Linked DNA regions of Notamacropus eugenii. The main gene of each other region encodes a partner of the protein of the gene in region 4 in a complex. Links are inferred from orthologs where the notes say so. Each region holds a gene or a part of one and is shown on either strand. Other genes may lie near its edges. The genes, in order: MED31, MED19, mediator of RNA polymerase II transcription subunit 23 and MED8.

Region 1 (7,998 bases), on a different chromosome or scaffold from region 4:
GGTCTGGCCTAGAGTCCAGGTTTTGCTGCTGGCATGCTGTGTGGATGGGGGAAGTCACCTGCAGCTGCTCTTTGATGCCTCCTTGGCCTCCTTGTCTGAGGCAGGCGTACAGTAGGAAGCCCCAGGTACCCGGTGGTGAAGGCCTGGGTTATGTCCACCACCCCCACCACTAGCTAGAGATCACTGTGTGCTCCATGCTGGCTCACACACTGATTCTTAGATGTTCTCGGGCTTTCCTGAGTGATGCTTGATGTTCACTATTCAAGGCAGACATTCCAGTGCCAGGGTTTGTAGTGCCCAGTACACATTTGGAACTCAGCTGGGCTCATTAAATAAAGGACAGTTAAAAGGGCAGGGGTGTGTGTGTGTGTGTGTGTGTGTGTGTGTGTGTGTGTGTGTGTGCATGTGTGCGTTGGGGGACATGCTAGAGTAACTCGAACTATTGAGAAGCTTTTCTTTCAGTCTCCCATTATTTGGGCCACCCTCCCCCACCCTGCCAAAGGGTCTCCATCCCGATGGGTTCTGCAGGTGTGGAAGGTGGGCCAGGTCCCAGGCTTCAGGAATGGAATCTACCAGGGCCACTCTTCCTCCTGACAAGTGAGGGCCTGTCCAAAACTCTTCTTTCTGGAAGAGTTGGTGGCTGCCTGTAGCTTTGGGCTGAGCCCTAGCATGTCTAACTGGCCTTTGAACAGTTGCAGGCCCTCCAGGGAAGGCCAGACATAGGCACGCTCAGCATACAGACTGCACTCCCACCCAGACCTCAGGGGTGGGACCACATGTGACACAGGAGGATGCTGAGATCTAGGGGGAGAAACAGCCTGACCAAAGCTGGTGGCAGAGCCAGAATTCAAGGTCAGGCTTCCAAAATCTCGGCCTGGTCATTAGGCCAAATCTGTACTCAGACCCACGTTCTGATGAACTCAGTCTTGTGATCAGCAGGACAACATGAGACTTGACAATAAGGACATCTGGCCCTTCCTGACCGCCTCTCCCTGGTCAGCATGCAAGCCCAGGACAGGTTAAGTTAGGTAGACAGAGAATTAGAATTGGAGATAGGACCACCTGAGTTCAGATCTTGCCTCAGACACTAGCTGTCTAGTCTTCCTAGATTACTGACGCTGGGCAAAGCCCTTAACCTGCCTAAATCTCAGTTTCCTTATCAGGAAAAGGGGACAGTAGCCATGTGTGCCTCCCAAGGTTGCTATAAAGATCAAATGAGATGGTATGGTAAAGCATTTTATATGTGCTTCTATGAGACAAGGAAGCAGGAAGGACCAGCTGGGGACTGGGATTCTCTCATGCTTCCTGGGAGCTTTCCAAAAGATGCAGCCTACCTTCCCTTGTCTCTACTGTGTGTCCTCTGCATATCTGAAAATAATTTTACCTCCCCTAAAGGGTGGCCTGAGTCTCAAAGGGTGGCCTGGGTTCTAAAGGAGTGGCCCGGGTTCTAAAGGAGTGGCCCAGGTTCCACAGGGAGGCCCAAGTTCCAAGGATAGCCCCGGTTCTAAAGGAGTGGACTGGGTTCCAAGGATGGCCCAGGTTCTAAGGGGTTGCCCTGTACTGGTGGGTACTCTCTCTCACCCATACTTCTGCTGCTTGGTGGTTCAAAGCTCTCCTTCCTGCTTTCAGGGGCCCAGATCAAGCACCAGGTGGGGCCTCCCTGTGACTCCAAGCCCTCCCCTGCTCTTCTTTCAGTCTAGGGGTGCATTTCCCATTTCCATCCAAGACCTAAGAACTAAGCCCAACCCCAAATCAGCAAACAGTGAAACAATCCCAGGAAAGATCAGGGCCTTTGCCAAGAGAGGAGCTCAGGATCAAAGACAAAGGAGAAAAGCCATCTTTGGAGAGCCCCATCATCAGATGAAAGGCCAGCGCCAGGTCAGGGCCACAGGAAATCCTCAGGGTCTGAGAAGCCCCTCACAGCTAAGGCTTCAGGGGACTTGGAAATGAAGGCCCTGGATCTGAAATCTACCTCTGCTATTTCTCACGAGTGACCTAGGGCAAGTTATTTTCTCTATGTGGACCTCAGTTTTCCCAGAGGACACTTAAGATTCCTCCCAGCTCTCCATCTGTGAACTAAACTGAAGACTGGGGATGCTGAAGCAATGACCAGATGGCTCCTGCCCCCTTGGCCTCTCACCAGCCTTCTCTCATTGCCCAGTGAAACCTCTGCTTGGGCACCTGCTGCCCCCTACTGTCCATTTTTAGCCTTAATGAGGGCAGGCTTCCGACATCCATCCAATTCTGCCAAGGTGCGAAGGTCCAGGCTGCTTCTGCTCAGCTCCGGGGCAGTACCAGGGCCAGTGAGGGGGAAGGTGGACAGGAAGATTAGGGCTCTATTCCTGCCATGAGAGCTGTTCAGTGAAGGGTGGAGAAGAGCAGGGTCCCTAGAGAGGCAATGATTCCTGAGGATGCTGAGCTTTGGAGGGGCTGCTGTGGGACATCCCTCAGCTGCACACAGGACAGTCTGGCTGGCTTGGAGAGCTTGTGAAGGTAGCTAAGTGAGTCTGGAAAGGCAGACTGGAAACACACTGTGGAGGCCTCTGCCCACCACTCTGGGGCATTCTCACTTGATCTGAGAGTCAGTGGGGAGCCATAGTTTTTGAATGAGGGAGTGAGGTGGTCAAAGATTTGGGCCTTTCCCATCCACCATCATCCCTTGGCACACAAGAAGCAGCTTTGTCCAGGGATGATCCAGTTCTCCCCATGCTGGCCAAAGAACCTTGGTCCATGGCTTTAGGAGGCGAGCTTCTCTTTCCCTTCCTCCTCTTTGACCCCCAGTCTCCTGAAGTGGATTTGGACTCTCCTTGCCACTGTGAATCTTGATGACCTGGGGCATTGCCTTGTCTTCCGGGATGTAGATGACCCTGAAACCTCTGTATGCAAAACTATTTGCTCCAGGAAGAACTTAATGCACAGGGCACTGAGTAGGCCATAGGAAAGTCCAGCTGCCTTCCATGCTGCTGGGATCCTCTGCCTTGGCCATCTTGGGGGCTCTCTAAGGAGCACAGTGACTTGGGAGCTCCAGGGCCTGGTCTGTTAGGGATCCTTCACCTCCCACTGCCTGTCATCATTTTTAACCCAAACAGAAGCTGTTCCACAAAGGCAATCCAGTTTGTTCCCTAGTATACTAAGGAATCATGACTCACATCTGGGCCTCCTGATGGCTAGCTTCGAAGCCTATTTCCATGTGCTGAACTAGACTTGCGTATTGCCCAGACCCCCCATTCCATGCTTTCTGAAGAGCTCCTGTCTCTAAAGAACTGTGCAGTGCATCCTCAGAACAGCCCTGCAGGGTGAGGAGGGTCTATTACCTAATGCATGTTTTTCTGTTACCATTTTAGCCAGAAGAAGTGACAAGCCCAGGTGACAGGGTCAGTGAGGGTTAGAGCCTGGGCTTTAACTGGAATCTCATGGGGGGTGAGGGGAGGGGGCTTCCCACGATGTCTTGTTCTTTCTTCTACTCTGATGCCCTCCCCCAGTCCCATCTCCCAGTTCGGTTGAGAGGGATGAAGGAGAAGTGACCCACCCTAGCAAAACAGGTCAGATTTACCCTAGCCAGAAGGAATGTCTCCCTAGCACAGACTTTGGAAGGAACACGTCATGTTTCCTCCTCTCTACTAGAGTATAAGCTCCATGAGTACAGAGACCTGGCCAGCTTTGTTTTATATCATCCCCAGGCCCTCACACAAGCTGTGAGCACACAGCAGGCACTCCAGAAGTATTTGTTGGGTGCATGGATAAGTAAGTAAGGAAGAGAATGGAAGAAGGAAGGAAGGAGGGGAGGAAGAAAGGAAGGAAGGGAGAGAGGGAGGAAAGGAACGTCATGTGGGAGGGGCAGAGAGAACAGTTGGGCTGGGTGGCTGAGTGCAAGAGGGAGAGGAACAAATGTGAAGTGAGTCTGAAAAGGCAGGTTGGGGCCAGCTGTGAAGAGCTTTAAAGGCTAAATGGGCAGTGGTGTGCAGATAGATGGTTAACAAGCAGTTCTTGAGGGGCAAATGAGACACTTTACAGTTTAATTTGTGTAATTAACATTTTCTCCACCACTTTCTTAAGTCTAGACAATCAGCACAACAATCCCTCCAACTGTGATGTGTGGGGTTCACTGTCTCCCAAGGTGTAAATGATCACACTGAGCATGGAGCTGTGGGCTCCCCCACTTGCTGGGCAGCTCTAGGTGACTTCAGCAAAGCCCTGTTAGCAGGGATTTTATATTTCCTTCTAGAAGCTGTATAGAATTGTTGGGATTATTGAGCAGGAAATCACATGACTGGATCTGTGTTTAAGGATGTTACTTTGACAGCGCATTCTAGGGCTGACTGGAATGGGGAGAGACTTATCCATACCATGGATTTGCTTGAGTTCCTGGTGTGAAAAATAACTCATTCAGGCTCCAGAGAGATGAAGATAAAAGAAGAGTTTACAAATGCACTGCAGCGTCCTGCTGGATTGACACACCCTCCAGAAACAAAAGGAAGCCTTAAAAACCCATGCCCCACCACAAAGTCCCTCTCCTGTCTCCCTAGAGGCTGGGTAATGCAGGGCGTACAGGTTTCTGATCCTCCCTCACATGTTCTCCCTCTCCTGTACACACATCGTGTAACCACTGAGATGAAGCCTTAGCCCTCCCAAAGGAGGAGAATGGGCATTCCAAGCAAGACTTTACTCCGTTGACTTCTAACCTCAAAGCAAGATAAAACCCAGCTGGAAGCATGCTTTGCTGCGTGAGACACGAGGAAGGAGTTATGTCTCCCACTCTGCTGGTTGTTATTCTAAATTTATGGACACACACTTCTCTATTACGTGTCTCAATTTTCCTTCTGCTGCTGGAAGATACTCTAGTGCTAGTCTATGCTGTTAGTGTCTTCTACAGCCAATTTACTTTCCTGCATTTGCTGCAAAGTCAAAAGACTTCCTGGTACGCATGCATCCCCTGGATTAAAAAAGTCACATATTACATAATTTTGGTGGAAACAAAAGGTTGTTTTTATCATTCCTCCCAGTCCTTCTCCAGCTTATTTTACAGATGAGGAAACAGAGGCAAACAAGGTGAAGTGACTTGCCCAGATACAACTAAGAGCCTGAGACCAGATTCTAAACTAGGTCTTTCTGACAGCAGGCCAGGCACTCTAATCACTGTGTGCCACCTAGCTGACAATTATGAGGGAAGTGGCCCTATTTCACAACAGAGGAATGGGGAGAGACTTGTGTCAGGCAGACCACCAGCAGGCTTCTTCAATAGTCCAAATATGAGATGATGAGGGGACTGCACAAGGTGGTGGCACAGGTAGAGAGATGTTACGAAGGTGACAGGCCTTGGTAACTAATTAGATCTAGGGGTAAAAGGGAGGAGTTCAGAACATCCCCTAGGTTGCAAATCTGGGTGACTAGGAGGATGGCAGTGCCTTCCACAGTAGTGATTGTGTGGTTTGTCCTTCATTCTTGAAGAGGACCATAACATCAGGGAGATGATGACATGATTTGCAATTGACTTTGATTTGAGTGAGGGAGGGCTATGCAAGGCAACTTTCTTTTCCAGAGCCATCTGGGTTCAGGGGCCAGATATCCATTAGGATCTGGAGGAGGATGCAGTAGGAGATCTCAGCCCTTTTAAGTCTTCTCAAGGGATGATCTCTTTAATGATAATAATAATAAAATCAAACTGGAAGGGGAAGACTTTCAGGGTTGCTGGCCAAAAGAGAAACAGTTAATATTTGCATTCACTCTAAGCCAGGAGGGCCAGTAAAACAACCATTAAGGCAGGGATCTACTGTGGTCAGTCCTTCAGATCCAGGGTAAATTGGGTTTAAGGCTTTGTCTTTGAAAAAGAAATCTAGTCAGTAAACCCCAAGTTTAAGAAGGAAGCTTTCCACCATCAAAATTTACATTCCTTCGGACAGAACATCAGAGAAGGGAAAGTAGAGGAGAAGGGATCGGAGGAAATGGAAAAAGAAAGGGGAAAGGAGAGGGAGAGACTTAGGAGGAGAGGAGCCTTCCACATTAATAGAAAAATGAAGAATGGAGGCCTGTAATGTTTGAGACATGCTGAGCTGAAGAAGTCTACAAGACATCTTATGGGAGATGGCCAGTAGACAGTTGGAGGTCTCCCTCCCAAAAAAATCGGCAACGCAGGAGACCCAGAGAGGCCAGGCAGTAGAGTGAGCTAGGTCTCGGGGCTGCACAGCAGGATCAGTCAGAGATTAGATGTTTGGTTTTTCTCCAGGGCATTTTTCCGGAGTTACAGATAGTAAAGTAACAGTGTAGCCCTCACGCCCGACCCCAGGGATTGGATTTTGCGCCCTACCCAGGTAGTTACTTTGTATACATCCTCCCCGTACAGCTCCTAGTATAGAACGCGTTAATTTCAAGGTTGCTCCTTCCGCCCCCTGCCCATGGCTGCTTGTGGTTACTTTGTATCCATCCGACAGTAATCTGTCCGACTTAATTTCAGGATCGGGCTCCCCATCTACAGTTACTTTGAATCCATTCTACCGGGGAGAAGTCTCCAGACCCAGACAAAGTCAGTTTCAGGGGCTCCCCTCGCGCTCCGCCCCCGTAACAATAGCTGCTACATTGTAATTCAGCTCCTCAGCAGGTTGACCTGTGCCTCGGGTGCTCGGCGGCGGGCACTTACAAAGCACCCAGCCCCATGCGGCCCGGAGCCCAGGCGGGGTGGAATTCTGTAGGGCGCAGTGATCCCGAGGTAGGGTGGCCCCGCTCCGCGCCCCCTTTCCCAGGCAGCTGCGCGCCTCTCCCTGAAGCACCGCCCGCAGCCCCTCCTCCACCGCCCATCTCCCGCCCCCTCTCCCACAAGACGCCGCGGCACGCAAGCGCGTGGGGTGGGACGCGGCGCAGGGTCTTAGGGCCCGCGGTGTCGCTGGCGCGGCTGCGGGAGCGGGGCGGGGCGGGGCGGGAGCTCGCTTATGGCCGCCGCCGTCGTCATGGAGACCTCGGGTGAGTGCAGGCTCCTGGCCGGTTCCGGGCTGGGGGGGAAGTGAGCTCCTGGCTGCGGCCCATTTCGCGGTGGGAGGACTGCGAGGCTCGGCTGGGGCGGGAGCGGAATCTCACGCGGCTCCGGACGCGCTGAGCTCTCCTCTCTTCCGCAGACGACGCCGGGAACCGGCTGCGCTTCCAACTGGAGCTGGAGTTCGTACAGTGCTTGGCGAACCCCAACTACCTGAACTGTGAGTCCCCGAGGCTGCTGAGCTGGGTGCTAGAGGCGGCTGGGGAGGCAAGGGCAGGGTCCCGACTGTGTGTGGTTTTTATTGACAAGAGCAGGGCTCAGGGCACTAGGGCCAGCAGGTAGGGGAAACTGAATCTGCTGCCAGGGAATGATTTTGAGACTTTGGGGTAATCCTGGGGCTGAGCTGCCCCAAGGCATTGAACATCATCCTTAGTCATACTCAGCACTGAGAAATGCCAAAATGCCCCAAGCTGTTCCCTTTTTCTACCCGAGCTTCGACTCTAGTAATTGAGCTTTGTTCAGCCTTTCTCTCCAATCACCTGTTCCTGCTTACCTCCTTATCTCTTTTCATCCATCCATTTCAGTGTCCCTCCCTCCACCCCTTTCACTTTCTTAAAAGACCTAGCTGAGTAGTTGGTCTGGGATGGTGATCTGGCCTATCGGAGAGGGGCTGGCATGCCCAGCCCTGGGAGGGTTTCTCTTGTCTGCATCCTGTGGGTGAGCAGGTGGGCCCCAGAGTGACTTCTTTGTCTTCCAGTCCTTGCCCAAAGAGGGTACTTCAAGGACAAAGCTTTCGTCAATTATCTGAAATACCTGCTTTACTGGAAAGAGCCAGACTACGCCAAGTACCTGAAGTAAGTCTCAACAGCGAATTCTGAATTTGGAAGCTGATGTTTTGCCTTAGAAGAAATAATACCTGACTGGCTTCCCAGGTGCCTTCTGGGGGTTGGCAGAGTGCCAGCTGTACTTCATCCTTAACTCAGGCAGCTGTTGGGAGTCAGGAAAAGTCAAGTTGAAATGTGGCCTCAGACACT
Region 2 (7,210 bases), about 500 Mb from region 4:
CTTTTTCCTTGGCAATCTCATCCGGCTATACTCTTGCTTCCAATATTGCCTCTGAGGAGGATGGACACACCTCTATCTCCAATCCTCACTTCTTCCTCAAACTCCAATTCTATACCTCCAACCTGCTGTGAGACAATTCTACTTGGTTTCTCCAGTCAACTCAAGTTCAATATTTCTTTTTTTCCTAATCTTTTAAAATAAAAATTAAGTTTTGATTGATCACAGCTGGTGGTACAATGGATAGAGGGCTGGGCCTGGAGTCAATAGTTCAAAGTCAGAATCAGACACTTACTAGCTGTGTGACCCTCAATAACCTCAACTGTAATATGAGGATAATAACAGCATCTACCTTAGGGTTATTGTGAAGATCAAATGAGATATTAAAAAAAAAAGCACTTAGAACAGTACCTACCACATAGTAGACACTACAGAAATGCTTATTCCATTTCCTTCCCTTTTTAATGTTACCATAATTTCCCCCAATATTCTTCCTCCCCCCCAGATAATAAATAACATTTTTTAAATAAAAGAAAAAAATTTAAGAATAAGAGGAAAAAAATCAGCACAATTGATCAATAAACTGAAAAGGTCTGAAAATATGTACAATGTACATTTGTGGATGGGGTGGGACTCATATCTTCTTTCACGCCAGGCTTGTTCTTCATAATTTCGCACCATTCACTTTTGATTCTGTTTACCTTGTAGTGATTGTGTGCATACGCTGTTTCCTTGGTTCTGCTTACTTCAGTCTTCGCTAGTTCATGTAGATCTTTCCATCCTTCTGTGTTCATCTTATACTTAATTTCTTATAGCATATGGACGCTTTAGTCACTTTATACGCATGGCTTGGTTGTACTAATTTGCAGCTCCAATATACTAGTGATATCTACCCACAACTGCTCTAACACTGACTTCCCACCTTTTGTCATCTTTGCCAATTTGCAGGGTATGAGGTTCCTCAGGGTTGTTTTGTTTAGTATTTCTCTTATTTAGTGACCTGGAGCATAGTTTCATATGGTTGTTAATAGTTTACAATTCTTTTGAAAATTGTTCATATTCTTTTTACCACTTATCTACTGGGGAATAGCCTTTGATATTTTATTTATCTGTTAATCATTTCTATATCTTGACAAACTCAACGTTTCTAAAACGAAACTCACCACCCTCCCCTGAAATATTATTCTATACGACCATCTTCTTACTTATCAATTTCTGTTAATGGTCACAGAAGAGTAGTTTTAGAGCAAGAGTGAGCAGGGACCTTAAAAACCATCTAGTTCAACTCCCTCATTTTACAGAGAACCGAGAGGTTAATAATCCAAACAGGTTAAGTGACTTGTCCATGGTTCCAAAGGTAATCAGTGGCAAAGTCAGGATTTCAAATTTTGATTTTTGTAGTGAATTCAACACTTTCTACTGCACCAAAGACCACCCTTCTGTGTCACTCAGGTTTGAAACATCATCTTTGACTCTTCTTTTTCTCTTGCTCCTACATCCAAACAATCATAAAGTTCTGTTGATACTTTGCATATATCTCTTAGATCTTATATCTAACCTCCCTTTACTTCCTAGACTTATGACCTTAAAATCTGCCATTCTGCTTCCAGTTTTCCTCTCTCCTCCTGCCGCCCAGGGCCATCCACTCTTCTTTTTCTTCAAGATTATGAATAACTTCAATATTGAGCTTAGCTGTCACTGTCTCCCCCACCCCTATACTGATCTTGCGATGGTTCCAAATGCTCCCAAGGTCTGTGAAAGGACTCCTCTTTAACTTGCCAAGTGAGGGTAGGTCTGCAGGCTTCGTTTAGTGGCCCCGCACTGTGATGAATGCTCCTATTCATGGGAACCTCCAGCCAGGTCATTCCCTACGACATTCCTGAAAAACACCACAAGCCCTCTCCCCACTGCTGGAAGTGCGGGGCCCTGTCGGCTAGTCAAAGAAGACAAGTCTGCACTGAGACGGCGATCCGCATAAATTAGACTACCTGCCCATGCGCCAGTCCACAGTGGGCAGGACGTTAGGAGGTGTTGGGAGGTGGTTTGAGGCGCTAGATCCTGCCTTGCCCCGGTCTCTTCACAACTTGTCTTACTTGGGTAGCTCACCAGGAGGAGCCACCCTGGTCTCCATAGCGAATGTCACAGGCTGCTTTATGGAGCACCTTACGAAGACTCACCCATTTTACCCCCTCAACAACCCTGGAAGATGAGGTGCTACTATTATGAAATCCAGTTTACAGATGAGCAAACTGAGGCCGACAAAGGTTGAGTGACGAGCCACCAACAGACAATTCATACGGCACTTTAAAGACCCAACAAGCGTTTACTGCATGGTTACTAGGCCGCGGTAGCACCGCTAGCTAAAAATTTCAGGAGTTTAGAACCCGGGTCCTCTAGACTCTATTAGCCTGGACTCCACAAGCCCGTTCATTGGCTGGCCCGCTCATTCGGTCCCGCCCCTTCGGCTCTCTGATTGACAGAAATACCTATATATCCCCGCCCTCTTTGCCCCATTATCTGTCGCTTCCGCTCATTGGCCCACAGCCCCAACCGTCAAGCCCTCCCTAGCAGCTGATTGGCTAGTTTCCAAGAGCATCCGTACTCACCTGGGAGCTCCCGCATCAGGTAGAAGGGCCCGCACCCAGCTGCGGCCTTGTCAGCACCAGGAGGAACTGAGGCCGCGGTGGGCGGCGGGACAGTTCCAGGGCCCCCACCCGGAGGAGGAGGCGGAGGAGGGGGCGGCTTCCCCGGCCCAAAACCCAGTGCGGCCGGTGGCGGCGGCGGCGGCTCAGTCTGGGCACCGAAAAGAGCTGTGAAGTTCTCCATCGCGTCGACCGCTCTGCCTCTGCCTCTGCCGGCGCCGCCGCCGCCGCTGCTGCCACTTCTGCTGCCGCTTCTGCCTCCGCCCACTCGGAGTCTAGCACCGCCGCGGCCTCTCATTGGGCCACCCTCTAGTGCAGCACCGCCCTCCTCTTCCTAGCGCCTCTATTTATTGGATGCGTCTGGCTCCACTGGCCGAAGAACTTCCGTCGCTCTAAGATGACGTAAAGGAAATGTAGCTCAGTGACCAGAAAACGCCTATCTCTCCGCCCACCCTGTTCTCAGCATCCAATCAAAGAGGGAAGCCCTGAGAGGCCAGCCTTTCAGAAAGGCCGTTCTTTCAGCTACATCCAATCATAATTCAGCTTCAGGCTGAGGTTCCGGAGAGACAGAGGGGCGGCCCAATTGGAAAGCCCGGATGGCAGGAGGTCGAGGAACCGGTTCGGCGTCCGGCAGGTACTTTGGCTGAGCTGCTGCGGCGGTGGTGGCGCTTGCTGCTTTAGGGGGAGGAAGATGGCGGTGTTGGCTCCGCTGCTGGCGCTGCTGTACTCGGTGCCGCGGCTCTCGCGATGGCTGGCTAAGCCGTACTACCTACTGTCGGCGCTCCTGTCGGTGGCTTTCCTGCTCGTGAGGAAGCTGCCGCCGGTCTGCCTCGGTCTCCCCACGCAGCGCGAGGACGGCAACCCCTGCGACTTTGACTGGGTGAGCGGAGGAGGTGGCCCCAGGGTCACCGAAGGGCAGGGTGGGAATGACCCTCCGGAGCCCCGGGGGGGCAGGAGCCTTGAGCCAGGCCCGACCGAATCGGGAGGTGCGGGAAAAATTGCCCCACAGAGCCCAGGCCCACCCGGTGCCACCGCCGTGACCTTGGGCAGCGCCTTCCATCGCGTTAGGACTGAGGGAGAATTGGCCCGGATGCCTCGGCCCAGATCCAGGATCCCGCGGCCTCTGCTGTAAAGCCAGTCTGGAAGTGAAGGGGGCGGCGAGAAGCCGGGTTACAGAGTCGGGCAGGAAACAAGCCCTTGCCGCCTCCCAGGGCGGCAGCCTTCCTTTCCGTGTCCCTTTAGAGCCTGCACGGAGCAGCACCGCCGCCCTTGGAGCCCAGGGAGGGGAGGGCGCTTGCTGGAGCAGAAGACCAGCTTCTCCATTGGCTCACCGTGAAGTTTTAAAGGACAAAAATCAATTTTCTCTCCCTCCTGCCACTTCTCATTAAAAAAATCTTCCGAGTAAAATTAATTCCCGTATTAGCTTTGTCAAAAAAACCATCTCTTCCTTCACGTTTAGTGCGTCATCTTTCAGGAGGTGAGTAGCTTGCTCTCTCCAGTCCCCAGGATGATGTGTTGGTCATTTAACTGTTGTCATTCATCGTTCTGGTCTGTAAAAGTTATTTGATCTTTTCATCGACCGTTCAGTCTTTTGACTCCAAATCCATTGGTCTTTTCACTAACCCATGCTGCCTTTCCAAGCTTAGTCACAGCGGACCCCATACCTGAATTTACAGCTGGGGAAACTGAAGCATATAGAGGGGAAGCAACTTGACAAATGTCAGAAAGTTAATAAGTAGTGGAGATGGCACACACACCTGGATTTTTGGACTTCTTAAGTCCAGGGTTCTTTCTAGTATATCATGTTTCATTAAGTGTCTGTTGTATATGTAGCACTTCATCCCATCCTAAAGGAGATTAATAAGGTCTTCAAGTAAGAGTATCTTTGATATGATGATAATAAATTAGAATACCTCCCTCCCTCCCATTTCTGTAGTAATTACAAAGCTCTTTCCTCACAACCTTCACATGAGACTACCAAGGTGAAAAAGATGATTATTGCACTCCTCAGAACTCAAGTTTCACAGAGGAAATATATGACATTCCTCCTCTCCATCTCTTGTTTTTGCTCCCATGGCCATCATCCTTGTTCTAGCCTCTTTATCATCCTGTTGAAATATTGTCATAACTTCCTAGAAAGTTTTTCTGCATCTATTTTCCTTCCTCCAGTATGTCCTTTATGCCATTGTATAATAGGTTTGCCCAGAGATTGAGTTATGTTATGCCAGGTGAAAATATCTTCCCTTTTGCCTTTCTTTAAATTAAATTTTGTTTTTCAGTCAATATCTCAACTCCAGTTCCCTGCCCCAAATCCTACCTCCATGAGAAAGAACGAAAAAAAAAAACAACCGCTGTTATAAACATATAATCAAGCAAAAGAAATTCCCACATTGACCATGACCAAATAAATTGGTCTCATTCTTCATTCCTCTTTCAGGATGTGGTAGCAGTTTATCAGGAGATCTCTGGAATTGTGTTTGCTCACTGCTTTGATCAGAATTCCTAAGTCTTTCGCAGCTCTTTACCTTTCCAGTGTTGCTGTTATTACATAATTGTTCTGGTTCTGCTCACTTCTTTCTGCATCAGTTCATACAAGTCTTCTTAGGTTTCTCTGAAACTGTTATCATCATCATTCTTACCACACACTAGCATTCTGTCACATTCATGTAGCATCATTTGTTCAGCCATTCCCCAACTGACAGGCGCTTCTTCAGTTGTCAGTTCTTTGCTATGGCAAAGAGAACTGCTTATAAATATTTTTGTACATACGGGTCCTCTTCTTCTTACCTTCCATTGAGACATAGTAGTGGTATTGCTAGGTCAAAGTGTATATATGAACAGTTTAATCGCTTTGTGGACATAAGTTCCAAATGGCTTTCCAGAATGACTGGACCGGTCCATAGCTCCCGCAAGAGTGCATTTTGCCTTTTTTTTTCCCACAGGCCTACAATATTTGTTATTTTCCATTTTTGGTTAATTTTGCCAATCTGATAAATGTGAGGTAGAACCTCTGAGTTGTTGTAATTTGCATTTCCGTAATGATTAGTGGTTTGGAGCATTTTTTCATGCAGCTATTAATAGCATGGATTCCTTCATCTGAGAGGCCTATTCAGATCCTTTGATCATTTGTTGTTTGAGGAATGGCTTTTACTCAAATAGTTCTCTCTGTAACTTAGAAATTAGACCTTTTGCCTATAAAAAGCCTATTGCGTTTTCAAGTTCCAAATTCATGGTATTACCCTGCTGTTTCTCCACCCCTCCTGTTATATTTGCTATGACTTCCCATCCAGGTACACTTTGCTTCAACCAAACTGTAGAGCTTTGTCTCTTACTCCCTACCCTCCCTGCAGCATGTGTTACTCTGTTCTCATTACTGGGGTGTTCTCCCTCTCCCCCTCTGCTCTTTGAATTCCTACTTGTTTAAAATCCAACTTTGATGCTACCTCCCCCAGGAAGCCTTCCTAGAAGTCTGTCTTCCTGTCCCTTATCCTCCCCACCCCCATAATTCAGGCGGTATTCTGTTTTGTACTTGGGCACATAATATCTGTGTGAACTCGGACAAGTCATTTCACCATTCCTGGATTTAGCTTCCTCACCTGAGCAAAGTTTCCTTTCCTTCACCAGATTTTCCTTCCCATGCCCCACAAAGTACTTTGAGGTGGTTAGCTAAACTTTATGAGCTCCTCCACCCCTCCAGGATCCACCACAATGCTTTGCTCACAAGCAAACATCTATTAGATGTTTGTTTCTGTTGTTCTAAGCCATATTTCCACCTTTGAAGCTGAGGCTTTCAACAGACCAGTGTGGAGAGGTGAAATGTCTTCCCTTTTTATAAAATGTCTAACAGGTGAGGCTGTCCCTACCCACAGTCAAATTCTGAATTTGTGAACAATTTTACACTGTCTTCCCTGTCCCCCTTCTTTCTTCCCTGTCTCTTCTTTCCTGCTGTCCTGCTGTGTCTGACCTCAGACTTGTTCTCCTACTTTGAACACTTGTAGTTCACCATTAAACCATGAGTTCCTCCAGGGCAGACTGTCTTTTGCCTTTCTTTGTATCCGGCACATGGTAGGCACATAATAAATGACTGAGCAGATGGACACCTTCTCTAGCTTCTGCTTCAAGCATGAGACTCACCAGTGTTCGCTCCCTCTGCCTTTCATTGATGACAGAGAATTGGGACAGAAAATTCAGATTTCAGATGTGTGCTGAAGTCCATGTTGATTTTGGCTCATTTGCTTACCTCTTTGGGGTTGAAGCAGGTTGAATGACTGCTCTGCTGTTGACAGTGATATTCCTAAAAGAGACAAGAAACTTGTCCTGGAAAATTCTTATTCCTAAGCCTAGAGTAATTTGGTTACCCGTAATGAAATATGATTGTATTTGAGTATGAAAGTATCTTTTTCCAAATTCTTCCTGAATGGACTGTTGGCAGTTTAGTGATCACAGATGTTCACCTCATTCAGAGAGCTGCTTCCAAGTTGGTGGCTTTTTGCTAGGTTTAAGTCCTCCATACAGAAGTAGTTATGTTTGGTGAGTAGATGGATGGCATTGATACAGGTTTCATAGGCATG
Region 3 (7,825 bases), about 290 Mb from region 4:
ATTTTTAGAGGAATATGCAATAATTCTAATTTATATCTCTTAGAATCTCCATTTTTCTATTTAGATATTTTAGATATAGTAAAGGAAATATTCACGATATGTTCTTTGAATAATTTACATAATTCCATTTTGAGTTCAGGACCAGGGGGAGGGGGGATCAGATTTGTGATTTCACTGGTATAGTGAGCTCCTTTCTGGATCCAGATAATCCCTGTATCAATGCATATCTGCACCTGTTCCTCAGTTTATGGTGTTAGAGAGTTATCTGGGCACACTGGAAAGTTAACAGGGTTTGTCTAGGGTCTCCCAAAGTTGGGATTTGAACCCAGGTCTTTCTTATATCATTGTGACAACGGCAGAAAGTAATGATAACATTATAATATACACATGTAGTGTTTCCTATTAATAGGCAGAGAGAGAGAGAGAGAGATACATAGCATATATCACCAGAAAAGGCATGGGACACGATCAGACCCAGGAAAACAAACTAGGTCTCAGAAACATATGGAAATGATGGGGTACTTGGGTGCATGTGCTTGGATCCCAATTCTAAAATCACATTTCTCTTTAAAAATCACATTTCTCCCTAGCCTCAAAACACAAAATATTCTCAAAATCTCAGGCAGGTTCTCCTCGGCCCAAGGACACAGCCTGCCCCAGCAACAACCATTATCTCCCTTCCTGATACAGCAGCCACCTGCACCTATGGAACTTATTAGTCTGAATCAGCTGTGTACTGGCTGATCTGGCTGTGTACTGCATCATAATGACATTTACTACTCACTGACCAATCATATGTATCCTAGACTTAGACATATGCATACTCCCTTACATTTATCTTGTCTAACAAGACATTGATGAGAGCAGCCTGATTTTCCCTGGTCAGCCCTGACCATTGGTTGACTTAGTGATGTTTCAGGCCTAAAACCACACCTCCATGTAACACCCTCTTGGGCTATTTCCTGATGAACTCTGGATAAAATACCTGTGCCGTAGATATGAAAAGTGCATGTTCCTTTAAGAACTAACCACACCCTGATCACCTACTTAGCATATTTGGCACACACTATACTATAGAATATCCTATATAAACTTTACCTCTATCCCTCTAAAGTGGCAGTTTCCCTAAGAACTCTTGTGCTAAAAAGCATAATAAATCTTTATCCTGACCTCAACAATGCTTGAGCCCATGAATTCATTCCATGTGACCTGCCCCTGGTACTCAGGTCTCTGTGGGGGTCTCAAACTCCTCCCTTCCAGTCCTCATCAGAAATATCTTTCCTCCAGATCTCTTTCTATTCAAACAGGAAAGGATACATTCTGAAAAGATTGTAATGTAAAAATTATAGAAACATACTAACCTTTTTAATTAAGATGAAAATATTAATATAAAGTATTGCTACAGTTTAAAGTTCTTTCCAGATTTACCTTAAGGGAGGAAACTTGATCAGGACTTAATTGAATTTCTTGGCAAAAAGAATGCCCTTCACTAAAATCTTTTATCTTAGTATTAATCTCTTTCTTTTAGGAAAGTATGTATTGTCTGGGCTGTTGTGTAGTTTTGTAAAACATGTCCATAATAGTCACGTTGTGAAAAAAAACACAAAAAAAACCCTCAAGAAAAATAAAGTAAGAAAATATACTTCAATCTGTATTGGGACACCATCAGTTCTTTGCCTGGGGATGGATAGCATTTTTCATTATAAGTCCTTCAGAGTTGTCTTGGATTATGGTATTGCAGAGAATAGCTAAGACATTCACATTCTTAGAATTTTGCTTTTACTTTGTACACAGTACATTTCACTTTGCATCAGCCCATGCAAGCCTTTCCAGGTTTTTCTGAAAGCATCCTGCTCATCATTTCTTATATGTAGTACAAATAGTATTCCATTGTAATCACATACCACAACTTGTTACACCATTCTCCAGTTGATGGGCATCTTCTCAATTTTTAATTCTTTGTCCTCAGAAAAGAGTTGCTATAAATATTTTTGTACATAGAGATTCTTTTCCTCTTTGTTTTTTGTCTCTTTTTGGGACACTGGCTTAGTAATGGTATTGCTAGGTCGAAGGGTACACATGGTTTTATAGCCCTTTGGGCATAATTCCAAATTTCTCTACAGAATGGTTAAATCAATTCACAACTCCATCAACAATGCATTAATGTTTCATTTTTCCCACATCCATTCCCAACATTTGTCATTTTCCTTTTCTGTTCCGTTAGGCAATCTAATAGGTAACAAGTAGTACCTCAGAAGTGTTTCTATTTGCCTTTCTCCAATCAATAGTGATTTAGAGTACTTTCTCATATGGCTATAGATAGCTTTGATTACTTCATCTGAAAACTGATCATATATTTTGATCATTTATCAATTAGGGAATGGCTCTTATTTCTTATTGAAGTAGACATTATCCCCCCCCCCCCCCGCCCCGGAGCCCCTGGGTTGAGAAATGTCTGTTGAGTTTCTAGGTAGGGTTGGGCCCCCCTTTGCCTAGTAGCCACTTTCTGTTGTGCCCCCCTTGCCTAGCAGTTGCCCCCTCTTTGCCTAGCAGCCACCCCCCCTTTGCCTAGGAACCCACTCTCTGTCGTGCCCCTTTGCCTAGGCAGCCACTCTCTGTTGTGCCCCTTTGCCTAGGAGCCCACTCTCTGTTGTGCCCCTTTGCCTAGCAGCAACTTGGGCCCCTGTCAAAACTGTTCTGTGAGATATGTTTGCTGTTAAAACCACAAAGCTGTACTGAGAAGTGCCGAAATGCTTAAAAGGCACACACACACCTTTTTCGCGGCTGCCTCTTCTGGGTTTTTCCATGAGACAGCCGCTGGCTAATAAAGACGCTCTCAAATTCTCAGGTGACTCTTGCCTGTGCTTTTTCTCTCTCTGTCCATTTCACTTATAAATCTGAATCAGTTCTCTTTTGTCTGAAAAATGAGGCCTGTTATCAGAGAAACTTGCCTCAAAAATTTTTTTCAGTTACTATGGCTAATGATATTTTCCTCCATCCTACTGAAAGCCCTTGCCTTCACCTCACCCTTGTTTATTCCATTATCTGCTTTCACTCTGTTCCTCCTCAAGTGTTTTGCTTCTGACTACCCCCTCCCCCAATTTGCTCTCCTTTCTATCACCCTTCGTTTTTGAAGAAGACCATGACATCAGAGAAATGATGACATGACTTGCACTTGACTTTGCTTTGAGTGAGGGAGGGCTGCGAAAGGTCACCAGCCTCACTTTCTCCTCCTGAGCCATATGGGTCCCATGACCCATCAAGATGACTGGAGGTGACCCAGGATGCAGTGTTAGGCTGGCCTTTTCAGGTACTCACTTCGAGGGAGGTAAAGACCATTGAGTGAAAAGGCCTCTTTAAGAAGTAGTCAGGGAATGGCCCTTTTAATGAACAACAACAACAAAGAAATAACTAAATCAATCCGGAAGGGAAACAGAAAATGTTACCATTGATAATCACTCTAAACTAGCCATTAAGTGGAGCTTGGGCAGGGTGTTGTCTGGAAATTGTATTAAGGATGGTAATCAAGTTTAGAAGGAGTAATAATTCAGATGTAGTTAAGATCATTGCCCTCCTTGGTCCCTTCCCCCTTCCCCTCTTCTAAAGAGAGTTGTGACTCCTGGCCAGCTCCTGCCCAGAACATCCCCTTCCTCTTTCAGAAGTGGCACTTCTAAATGTGTCCCCCTGCACACAGCAGGCACGAAATAAATGCTTCTTGTTTTCTGAAGCGCCCTCTTCCCTCTCTACTCCCAATGGCCTCCTTATGGAACATCGAAGCCCAAAGCTCCCTGCATTACAGAAGTAGGAGAAGGAGGGAACGGGAACGTCACATATAAAGCCAGGCATGGTGGATGTGTCGGCTCCTTTCTTTTGGACTGTTCTTCCTCATTCTTTCCCATCTACCTGCTTATCTAGCCCTCTTCTCCTGAGTGCCAGTCCCTCACCACAAACTGTCTATTCGATATTTCTCCCACTGGCATTTCAAACTCAACATATCCAAAACAGAAATCAATTTTTGCACTATGTAGCTCCTTGGATGATGGGGAGAAGGTTCTATTTTCAAAAGGAACTGTGTTTTTATATTATGTGTATACACATATATGCACTCCTATATATACATACATACACAACCATCGCTGATAAAATATATTTATATATTTTAATGATGTAAGTACTATGAAATATAACTGTTAGATAATACCTAACAGGTACACGGAAGCGCTTTACAACTATGACCTCATTTGATACTCACAGCTACTTTGGGAGACAGGTGTTGTTACCGTTATCCTCATTTTACAGATGGGGAAACTGAGGCAGGCAGCGATTAAGCGCCGTGCTCAGGGTCACAGAGCTGGCGTCTGGGGCCAGTTTTGAACTCAAGTGTCCCGGACTCCAAGCCCTCTGCTGTATCCGCTGCCTCGGGCCAATAAAAAAAAAAGGATAAAATTCATTTTCCAAATTACCATCACACAAAGGTGCAGAACAGAAACGTCCTCCACCAGCCAACCAGCGCTTATTAAGCCCCCAAGTGCTGGACACTGAGCTGAGCGCGGGGGACATAAAAAAAAAAAATACGCAGCTTCCCACTGCCTAAAACAGAATAAAATTATTTAGGAAGAGATTGAGGTGGGGGGAGCGCAAGGATGCTAAATAGAGGAGCCCGGGCAGGGTGGATGAAGGAGCAGACAAACAGGTTAGGGAGGAGACTCCCGGGGGCGGGGAGGGGCGGAGCCTCCGCGTGATTGGCTGGGAGCGCTCACCACGCCCCTCCCTCGCCTCCCGGAAGTGCCCGGTCGTTGGCTCGCGTCTCCGCCCGGCGTTTCCGGGAGGGGAGCGAGCCGGGCGTCCCCGCGGCGCCGCGCTGGGTACCCAGCTGTGCGGGGCTTCGCCCAGCGTTCGGCGCCGAGGGAGGGGTCCGGGCGCGCGCGGCGCCCACGCTCGAGCCGGGCCTCCCGGGGCTGCGGCGGAGCTCGAGCCGCGATCGGAAGAGGAGGGCTGTGGGCCCGGCCCCGCCGCCCCGGCCGCCGCCGCCATGGTGCAAATGGAGACGCAGCTGCAGAGCATTTTCGAGGAGGTCGTGGTGAGTGCGGAGCCGGTGCGGACCGCAGGAAGGGGAGGAGGGAGAGAGATGCCTTCCCCTGCTGTGGCTCCCCCAGCATGGATCAAACGCCTGCTGTGTGCCGGGCCAAGCGCGGGGTAGCCAAAGAGAAGGAAAACCAGGCCCTCGCCCTCCCCAGGGGGGAAGACGGTGTGCACGCAACCTCGCGTAAGCAGTCTGCCGTGATCCATGAGAAGGGATTCTCTCGGGGAAAGCGCTAGCGACCAGGAAAGGATTCTTGCAGAACGTAGAACTGGAGTGGAGGCCAAAGGGAGAAGGGAGAGCATGCCAGGCAGGGGGCACGGCCCGGGCAAAGGCATGCAGGCTGGAGATGGAATGTCCTGTTCGAGCACCAGCCAGAAGCCCGGCGTCTCTGAGTTAACAGACTATGCAGAGGGGAGCGGAGAATAAGATTGCAAAGGGAAAGGGGCAGAAGTGGGAAGGCCTTTACACGTCAAGCATAAGATTTTATATTTGATCCGAGACCTCCAGGTGGGAGTAAGATTTGTCCAGTCAGACTACATAGCTGCTACTCATTTTAATGTTTTCAGGCCAATTTCTTGGGAGCCACTGGAGTTTATTAGGTAGGGAGATGAGCTCGGCCCTCCAGATAGGAAGTTTGAGGAGGACAGAGTTCGTGGGGGATTTCACCCCTTTTATTGGAAAGTGCAGGTAATCCAGAATCCCACAGCTCATCGTGTTGAGCGCACGGTTTACCAAAACCCTTAGATCTGTTTTTCAGAAGAATGGGGCAGACTGATGACAAGTAAAGAGGCCCTAGGTGAGGGGGAGGATCCAGCAGCTGCCATGGTCATGTGCAGTTGGGGGCCCTCCAGGCCAAGGTTTCTGAGCCTTCCTGGGAGCTTCTGTGTCTTGGCTTAGAACACTTAGAGATGAGGTCTTTCCTTCATGGGAGAAATGGTGAGGACGCAACTCCTTTGCCTTGTACGTTCCCTCAGGCTCAGGTGGCCTCCCTCCTCTCTGCCACTGCAGCTCCTAGTCCTTCAGAACTCCTCAAGCGCCCCCTTCTACACTGGACCTTCCCATTTCTTTCAACTATTACTGTTAATCCTCTAAAATTACCTTGTATTTGTGCAAGGCCTCTTATTTTATGGATAAGAAACAGGCCCAGCATGATTGTGACTTGCCTCAGGTCACCAGGCTGTTTCCTCTGATAGAATGTAAGCAAATTGAGAATGGGGACTGTTTCATTTATTTCTGTATATGCACAGAATACAGTAGGTGCTTCATGAATGTTTCTTGCTTGGTTGATTAGTCACTCCAAGCTAGTTTTGGTCCTTTAGTCTGAAAAAGGTTCACTTTGACTAAACCTAATGTGCTTTATTGAAGGTCACACAACAAATCAGAGTATGAGAGCCCAGACAAATTGGGAATATATTTAAGTACTCTTAAAATTTAATGGCGTTTTTTTTGTTTGTTTATTTTACAGAAAACAGAAATCATAGAAGAGGCATTTCCAGGGTAAGTATAATGCAAGATAAAAATCCGTTTATGTGGTATCTATTTCTTTCCCTGTCCTTCTCTAGTTTCTTGTCATTCTGGATATCCTTTAATAAGCACAATATTTGGTAGATAATGAGGGATCTGTGCAGGGTTGCTTTTTAATCACGATGGTGACCATTTGTATGTAGCAGTTGGTAGCAGATGATAACAGTATTTTCTTTCTTTAGCATGTTTATGGATACACCAGAAGATGAAAAAACAAAACTGATCAGCTGCTTGGGAGCTTTCAGACAGTTTTGGGGTGGCCTTTCTCAGGTGAGCACTAAAGTTTAAATAATATCTCATATGTAATGTTGTGATTTTAAAATATTTTTACATATGCTATCATATTTGATCCTTATAAGCCCCATGAGGTCGATAAGACAAGGATTTTCTTTTCAAACTTCATCTGGCAGATGAGAAAACTGTGTATATAGTTACTTGCTTTAGATGGGGAAACCAGGACTAAAATTTGTATACATTTCATTATATTGCTTTAATATAAGCAGCTCTCCATGTTGTTTTTTAAAGATTCAAGGAATGGGGATTCTGTAGTCTCTTCCTGTGTTTAACTGTATTTTGTTGGTGGTGGGTAGGAGTGAGATTCATTATGTCAAACTAAATAAGAATATTTTAATGTCTTTAAAATCTGTATAGTAGCTTTCCTGTAAAACTTTGGCAGACCAAAAGGTCAATTTACAACATAGGAGCCAAGCATTCTCTTTGTTCCCTTGTATTCAGAAACAGCAGGAATCAGCAGTGCCCTATGTAAGTTTTTTTTGTGCCAGAGGATAGAAAAGATAGTAAAGATACTTTCAGTTGGGAAATAAGGGAAGACAGGAACACTGATGGAAGTAGAGGCAGGGCCTTACTCCTTTGGTTTATCTGCAGAATCATATCCATCTTAAAGGTGGGAGACTTGACTTCTAATCCCAGCTTTATCATATATTAGCTTCATGACCTTGGGTGAATCACTTGCCCCCACCCCTTTCTCTGAGCCTCAGTTTCATCATCTGTAAAACCACAGGGTTGGATTAGATAAGGATTTCTTATCCTGGAGTCTGTGAACTTGTTTTTGAAAAAATATTTTAATGTGGTTTTTTTTGTAAGCTTATATATTTTATTTTTAGGCATTTAAAAACATTATTGGGAGGAGGGGGTTCCATAACCTTTACCAGACTGCTAGAGGGTTTTATAACAAAGAAAAGTTAAGACTTTAAGAAC
Region 4 (7,019 bases):
CCATCCATACCCCAGGCTATCTTTTAACAAGCGCCCCAAAGCAAATGCCACCAGCTAAGTGGAGAAAGGGGCAAAGAGCCCCAGTGGCTGGGGTGAGGGGTGGTCTGGATAGAGACTAGAGGGAATGTGTTGCTCTCGCTGTGCTCTCCCAGGCCCTGCTTCTCACCGTGAGCTCCTCATCTCGGTCCGGGGACAGCACCAGAGGAATGATAACCTGGTTCCGGAGCAATGGGGTCTTCTCATGTTTGAGGACCTTGTTGAGAGTGTTCAGCTGTCCAGAGAGCAGAGCAAAGCTGTCCAGGACTGAAGGCCTAGTTGGAGTGGAAGAGATGGGAATAGGGCCTGGCTAAAAATGTGGGCTCTGACCCATGGGACCCCCTCGGGGAAGTAACAGCTGCCTGAGAGCCCTTCAGAGAAAGACAGAGATGCAGCCTTAGGATTCAGAGATGTGATGACCCTTTACACCCAGGCCCACCTAGAACAGATGCACAATCTGGGACTGAGACTGACATGGCTGCAGGAAAAGAAAAGGCTCTTAAAGCTAGCAAGGCCTGGATAGCCTATACTAAGCCTCCTCAGGAGAGAAGTTCTATAGGTCAAGACCCTGATTAGACCATGCTGTCTCCAAAAGACCTCTTTTAACGTATGAACTAGCCTCTACTTGCCAACGGAAACATAGTGGGCCTTCCCATGGACTGGCCTTCCTATGGCACCCAATGTATGGAAAACTGGAAGAGGAGAATGCAGACAGCAAAGTAAAATGACGCATCTTTCCTGCTGCCTCAGTGATGCCTTTGCCCTTCACTCATACCAGTGGACTGCCAGCATCTGGGGACAGAGGGGAGTCTGTGCTGACTGGGTTCCCCAGCTCTTTGTCTAAGGAGCTTCATCTTCTCTGGACACAAGTGCCTTAACCCTTCTCCAGCCCTGACTTGCACGAGGGGCTCAAGTCCTCCGGGGGGGCCCAGAAGCTGGGAAATTAAACTGTGACTGAGGAGGCTCAGGAGCAGCATGCCTGCCTCCTGCTGAGCTCTAAGGCCGTTCCGCCCACCTGCCCTTACCAGGTAAGCCGGTCATACTCGTTCTCCAACTTGCAAATAAAACTTCCCAAGGAGCTCTTCAGATCTGCCACTTGATTCAGCAGTGCGTCCACTGATGCCTCCAGCTGCTTCTCTTCCCTCTGCATGGACAGAGACCAGCCAGTCAGCCTAAGGTGGTCAGGGCCCAGTGTGCCAGACACAGATCTCGACTTAGAGTCCATGGGGCACCTGGTGTCTGATGAGAAGACTGAGAAGCCCCAGGGAGGGGTGAGCAGGAGGGGCTAGCTGGCAGGGACACAAGTCTCACCCTCACTGCACCAGGCTGCCTTTTCCTTCTGAGTCCTATTAGGGTCCTAATGGGCAAATCCCAGGACAGAGCCCAGAGCCCCAGGCCTGGTGAAGACTTGATGCAGAAAAGCCAGGAGGGGAGGGAAGGGTGTCTGCCCCTTCCCCAGGGTCTGCGTGAGTGCTGCTGACTGCCCAAGACATGCTGCCTCTATTGCACTGGTACCATGTGGCACAAGAGGATCCCCAGAGGGCCCCTGGGCACGAAGCGTGCTCCAGGCAGGAACAAGGCTATGGTGAGAGACTGTGTGGGCACTCCATCCTGAATCTCTGGTGACCACGGGGAGCACCTGCAGAGACAGGGCAGAGGTGGGCCATCCCATTCAGGGCAGGATGGAGGCGGTCACCCAGAGGCGGGTTAGGGGCCACCCTGGGGATTGGCATGCCACACGCTGCATCCTGCCCCCCACCTGCATTTCTCCCGCCCCTAGCTTATCAGCAGCACCTCATTTCTTCTAGGGCCTACCACACCCTGGCATCCCTGGGGTGTCTGCACCAGGCCCTGACCTTGGGGGCCCCTCCTGAGGCAGCCTGTCAGGCTAGCCTGGATGCTCCTGCTCAGTGACACAGGACCAGGACAGCCTGCCCCCACCCTGGTCCCTGGGTCCCTGTGGGATCCTGACCACTCCTTGATACCTGGAGGGCAGAGAATGAAAGGCTCCATCCCTCCCCCCGCCAGAGTTTGCTTTCTCTAAGTCTGCCCTTGGTAGGTCAGCCCTCGGCATGTGGGAGCTCCCCTCCCGGCCACACCCGAGCCCTGCCCCTCAGGACATCTCCAGCCCTCGGCACACGGATCCTCCTAAGCCAGGTGTGAGCCCTGACGACCAATCAGACCATTCCCTGGGCACGGTCCCTGACCGGGGCCCTCAAGGAGCTTGGGGGGGGGGGGAGGAGGGGGAGGGGTGACCCTTTTGCTCCTCTGTCCTCCCACGACAGCCTACACTGGCTGATGCCACGGTCCGGCCTCCCTTCACACCCTCCGGAGAGAGTGGCCCAGGGCACAGACGCTCCCCGGGCTGGATCTTAAAGCCCCTCCTAGCTAGGCTCCCACCTACTTCTCCAGGCTCATTGTGGATGATTTTACCCAGAGACACGTGGGTCCGGCTGGACCTCTTGCCTCTGAGCCTTTGTCTCGGCAGACCCTCCTTCCTCGAATGCCTTCCCGCTGCAGGTTTCAGTAAGCTCTTCTCCCTTCCACGTCCCCTCCCCCACCCCACGCCCCCTCCCCCTCCCCCCGCCCGGGGCAAAGGCGGGGTAGGCTCGCTGCATATATGGCAGACCCTGGCTCACTCAAGGGTGCCTTCCTAGGCCTCAGTGTCTGTACGTAAATTGAGGGCAGGGTAGAGAACGTCGCGGCCCCATCGGGCTACGGGTCCGCCCACACCCCAAGACACTCCCCGGTGTACGCGCTCCTACGCCCCGGGGGGCCCCCAGCTTCGCTGCAGCGCCGCGAGCTCTTGGGCCTGGCCTTCAAGGTCTCCTCCGCGGGATCTCGGACCCGAGGCCGCCTCGCTTCCCCCCGCTACCGTCAGTCCAGCGCTTACCTGCATCTTGTAGGCTGCAGGAACTTCCCATTCCGGGGTACCGCCCCCTAGCTTCCGCTTCCGGAAGCACCGTCGTCGAACCCCGCGACTTCTCCGGGAGCTTCCGACGCGACGGCCGAGCGCTTCCGGGTCGCGGCGGGTCAGAGGTCACCCGGGACCTGACAGCCATGGCGGCGGAGTCGGCCGAGGTAAGGCTGGGGCGGGCGGTCCCGGGAGCTCAGGGCGTGGGTGCGGGGCCAGGCCTGGGGGCAGAGCGGCCCCCCGCAACCCCCGGGGCGCCGGGTCTCTGAGTGCCGAGCTCCCCGCGCAGGTGGACGAGGCCGCGCACGTCTTCCTGCTGATGCGCAAGGGCCACCGCATCTCCCGCAACGTGCGCCTGGCCTGGTTCCTGAACCACCTCCGCCAGCCGGTGCGGGCCGCCTCGGCCGAGGAGCTGGTGAGTGGGGGCGGGGCGGGGCGGGCGGGGGGCGAACGGGGGGCGGGCAGCCCCCTGGCCCCCGCGGCCCCTGACCGCCCCGCCCCCTCCCCGCAGCTGCGCTCCGAGCCGGAGCTGGCCGTGCTCAGCGTCCTCCCGCCGGGCTGGCAGCCGGACGAGCCGCTGGGGCCCCCGGGCCGGGCGCTTCTGCTGGTGCCGTCCACGCGCGTCACCTTCCTGGCGTGGCGCTACCGCTTTGTCATCGAGCTGGACCTGAGCCCGTCCACGGGCATCGTGGTGAGGCCCCCCCCAGCCCTCGGCTGCGGGGGGTGGGGGGTCCTGCCCCTCCCCCCGGCCGCTGGGGGGCTCCCCTTCCCCCACCCCACTCCCCCTGCCCAGCACCCCCATTCTCTGACCTGCCCCCTCCCCCCAGGATGACTCCACCGGAGAGATTCTCTTTGACGAGGTATTCAGGGCCCTCTCCCGATGCGTGGAGGGGCTGCTGCGGCCCTTCCGAGTCCCGGGCTCCTCCATCACCTTCCAGCCAGAGATCTACGTGACCATCCAGGCCTACTCCTCCATCATCGGCCTGCAGTCCCACCAGGTAGGGAGGCTCCTGCGGCGGCGCGGCCGCGTCTGGATCGAGTCCTCCTTCCCCGCCCTGGGCGCGGGGGTCCTAGCGCCTCCCCTCCCAGCCCTGGGCGCGGGGGTCCTAGCGCCTCCCCTCCCCGCCTCTGGGCGCGGGGGTCTTAGTGCTTCTCCACGTTTTGTGCCCTTCCCCCCACGCCCAGGTGGCTGACAAGCTTGGAGTCAGGGCTCGGACTCTTAGGCAGGTGACGCTCACAACTCACTTCTGGGAAGAACGTGGTTAGCGACCACACTGACTGCACAGGGTGGTGGGGAGGATCAAATGTCTTTAAATACAGCATTCTAAATTCTGTTGTGACATCTTGCTTTCCGCCTAGCCTTGCATAGTTATGCCCCAGTGGGTATAGCTGGGGCCTGTACTCCAGATACTCCCCTGCCCACCCCACCCCCTTTACCTACACTTGTGCTATCCTTGCTGCTCTTACTATGTGGTGGGACCCCATACCCTGACTCATCCAGAATCAGGGGATCTGAGGCATCTGATTCAACTAGATTGGAACAAGATTTTCCTCAGCCTTCTCAGACAAGTTACCATCCAGTGAGGGGGTGAGCCCACCCTACTAAGCACTTATTACACACCTGCTGTATGCAGGGGGATCCAGCCAAGGGAGGCGGGAAAAGCTCCCTAAGAATTGACCTAAGTCTTGAAGACAGGCAGGCTTCCAAAAGGCTCAGGTCAGAAAGGAGAGCATTCTTAGGATGAGTCACAGCCTGCGCAAAGGCATGGAGGTGGACCATAGAAGATGAATGCTTGTGTATGGGTAACAGCAAGTAAGCCAAATGGGAAGTGATGTGAAATCAGTCTTGCAGCTGGTTTTGAAGGGCTTGCAGTGCCATACAGGTGTTTCACTTTTGTCATGAGGATCGTGGGGTCCCAGGTACAATAAGGGGAGGAACACAAAGGTGGCAGGGAAGGTTAAGAGTGATTGTACTGAGGAGGATCCCTTTGGCTTCAGTGACAGAGATGGATGGAAGAAGGAAAGACCAGGCATGGGGCCCAACAGGAGGCTGCTCTGTGTACTCTTTCCATGAAGGGTCAGTGAAGGGGACAGCTTTATGAGGGGAGATGAGGGAATGGACGTGGACAGTGTGAAGGGTGGATTGACATGGCTTGGTGACTGGCTGACTCCGAGGAGTCAGTGAAAATGGCTGAGGGCGTGAACCTGATCAACTGGGGAGAGGTTGGTGACCTGGGCAGGCTGGGCAAGTCAGAAAGTTGGGCCCGCAGCACAGATCTTGCTCAAGAGACCTGCAGGAGGTCCAGGCAGGGCTCTGGGACTGGCGTTCCAAAGAGATGTAGAAACGGTAGTGAAATCCAGGGGGCTGATGAGGCAAAGAGAAGAGGATACCTGGGGTCAAACCGTGCTTTCCAGGCGAAGGGGAGCCTGAGAAGATGTGGTCAAACAGGAGAGCCTTGAGAACAGGGCCAGGACCTGTGGAGGGAGAGGATGCAGCCAGTGTTTGGTGCAGCCAAGAACTGGGATTTGGCAGATCGACATGGACCTTAGAAAGCCCCCTCAGCTGGAGTATGGACAGAAGCCAAGGCTTAGAAGTTCTTGACTTCAAGCTCAATTCTGTTCCCCGCAAGTTTTGCTTCTTTCTTTGCTCTTGGGAGCCAACCAGTGCCAGTCTACAGCTCTCCTATGCCCACCTCCCTCTCTCTGCCCCCACTACTTCAGGCTCCTTCCCAAATGGAGGAGAACCCATCTTACATCCTCTCCGTGCCTTGCTCCTTGTCACGGCCTTCCTGAAATATGGTACCAGTCCTCAGTGATGGCTGTGGCCACCTCTCCTCGTGGGTGCTTCTGTACCAAACTGTTGACAGCCCACCAGGACCTCCAGATCTTTCTTAGCCATGCCATTCTGCCACTTTTTCCTATGCTTTGCTTCTGCAAATGTTTTTGAAAAGCTATGCGAGATTCTGGCCATGCCAGTGCTGCCTGCTTCCCATCGTTTGAGGGATTGCCGTCCTGTCTGTGGATGAGGGAGCAGTTCTCCCAAATTGGCCTTTACAGACAGACCCAGGAACCCATGTTGGGACAAACTCAGCACAAGAACCGCCCCGAGGTGCACCGCTGTCCTAGGAGGGCTGCAAGAAGATGTTGGATGGCCACTGGTTGGGAGCCATCCTCAGTCCCCATCCTCCAGTCTGCTGCAGCATGTGGAGATCTTGTGGGGAAGCACAGCCTTTCACACTTCCCTCTTGTTGTTCACGTTGTGTTTTTTCTCTTTTTCCTGGAATTTTGTTCTTGAGATTCTCATTCCTCATAGACTGGTTTTCTTTGTTGAATTTCATCTTTGAAAGGGGTTCACCTAAAATCTAGGGGTGTGTCTGACACATTTTTCTGGCACAAATCCGAATCACCATTCACCACAACCTTGTACCTTCTGTGTGAGGCTTGAGAACGTTTCCTTTTTCTGTCCCAGTTGGTCTGTGGTCCCCTCCTGTGGCCAGGTTGCTGCTCTCTGCCCGTGGTCTTTGCTGAAATAGTGTTCTCTGGCTCTGAGTTCTCCTCATGTGACTTTGCTTTCTTGAGATCTAGTGCTCAGTGGTGTGCTTACCTCCCTGCCTCTGCCCCTCCCTCAGCCAGGCTGCAGTCCTGGGCTTCATCTCAGGCCGCCTTTCCTCCTAGGTCACAGCTGCTACTCAGCAAAGGGCCTTCAGAGGCCGTGCCTACCAGGATTGTGGCTGGGTCATTGGTGTCTTCATTATGGCTGTTTTTATTGGTGGAAAGACAGAGACAGCCGTTTCCTCTCTCCACTTTCTTTTTTACTTTCAAGCCCTTTTGCCTAAATTTGTGAAAACCAGTCTTTGCAAGGTTCTCTCCACCTGGCAGGGACTGTGCTTGTGAATGAAATCCCATTGTCTTCTTCTCAGTCCCCATCATCTTAATCAGCTGCTCGCTTCCCCAACCTCTGATGTTCCTTCGAATCATTTGCCTCTGTGCAGCATTTATGAAGGACGTTTTGGGTGACAGGCACCGGGGCGACCAAGACTCCATCCCAGGCCTTGTCCTCTAGGAGCCT

Evidence for each region.
Region 1: MED8 (region 4) and MED31 share a complex: the UniProt entries of both Homo sapiens proteins name them as parts of the mediator complex. The link is inferred for Notamacropus eugenii from reciprocal best matches to the Homo sapiens genes MED8 and MED31.
Region 2: MED8 (region 4) and MED19 share a complex: the UniProt entries of both Homo sapiens proteins name them as parts of the mediator complex. The link is inferred for Notamacropus eugenii from reciprocal best matches to the Homo sapiens genes MED8 and MED19.
Region 3: MED8 (region 4) and mediator of RNA polymerase II transcription subunit 23 share a complex: the UniProt entries of both Homo sapiens proteins name them as parts of the mediator complex. The link is inferred for Notamacropus eugenii from reciprocal best matches to the Homo sapiens genes MED8 and MED23.

Annotation. Positions count from the first base shown.
Region 1 is NC_092877.1:388,544,699-388,552,696, forward strand, and holds the start of MED31 (mediator of RNA polymerase II transcription subunit 31), read left to right. Parts: upstream 1-4,982; 5' UTR 4,983-6,923; coding exon 6,924-6,954; intron 6,955-7,106; coding exon 7,107-7,184; intron 7,185-7,721; coding exon 7,722-7,818; intron 7,819-7,998. UniProt on the Homo sapiens protein: Component of the Mediator complex, a coactivator involved in the regulated transcription of nearly all RNA polymerase II-dependent genes.
Region 2 is NC_092873.1:3,310,378-3,317,587, forward strand, and holds the start of MED19 (mediator of RNA polymerase II transcription subunit 19), read right to left. Parts: upstream 3,018-7,210; 5' UTR 2,938-3,017; coding exon 2,604-2,937; intron 1-2,603. Other genes in the region: TMX2 (thioredoxin-related transmembrane protein 2), read left to right, coding at 3,331-3,519. UniProt on the Homo sapiens protein: Component of the Mediator complex, a coactivator involved in the regulated transcription of nearly all RNA polymerase II-dependent genes.
Region 3 is NC_092873.1:216,607,350-216,615,174, reverse strand, and holds the start of mediator of RNA polymerase II transcription subunit 23, read left to right. Parts: upstream 1-4,825; 5' UTR 4,826-5,032; coding exon 5,033-5,080; intron 5,081-5,093; exon of another isoform or gene 5,094-5,266; intron 5,267-6,548; coding exon 6,549-6,580; intron 6,581-6,789; coding exon 6,790-6,877; intron 6,878-7,825. UniProt on the Homo sapiens protein: Required for transcriptional activation subsequent to the assembly of the pre-initiation complex. Component of the Mediator complex, a coactivator involved in the regulated transcription of nearly all RNA polymerase II-dependent genes.
Region 4 is NC_092873.1:504,905,066-504,912,084, forward strand, and holds the start of MED8 (mediator of RNA polymerase II transcription subunit 8), read right to left. Parts: upstream 2,943-7,019; 5' UTR 2,936-2,942; coding exon 2,930-2,935; intron 2,563-2,929; coding exon of another isoform or gene 2,540-2,562; exon of another isoform or gene 2,282-2,539; intron 2,194-2,281; exon of another isoform or gene 1,181-2,193; coding exon 1,062-1,180; intron 312-1,061; coding exon 167-311; intron 1-166. Other genes in the region: KICSTOR complex protein SZT2, read left to right, coding at 2,540-2,562, 2,943-3,117, 3,240-3,365, 3,462-3,641, 3,778-3,948. UniProt on the Homo sapiens protein: Component of the Mediator complex, a coactivator involved in the regulated transcription of nearly all RNA polymerase II-dependent genes.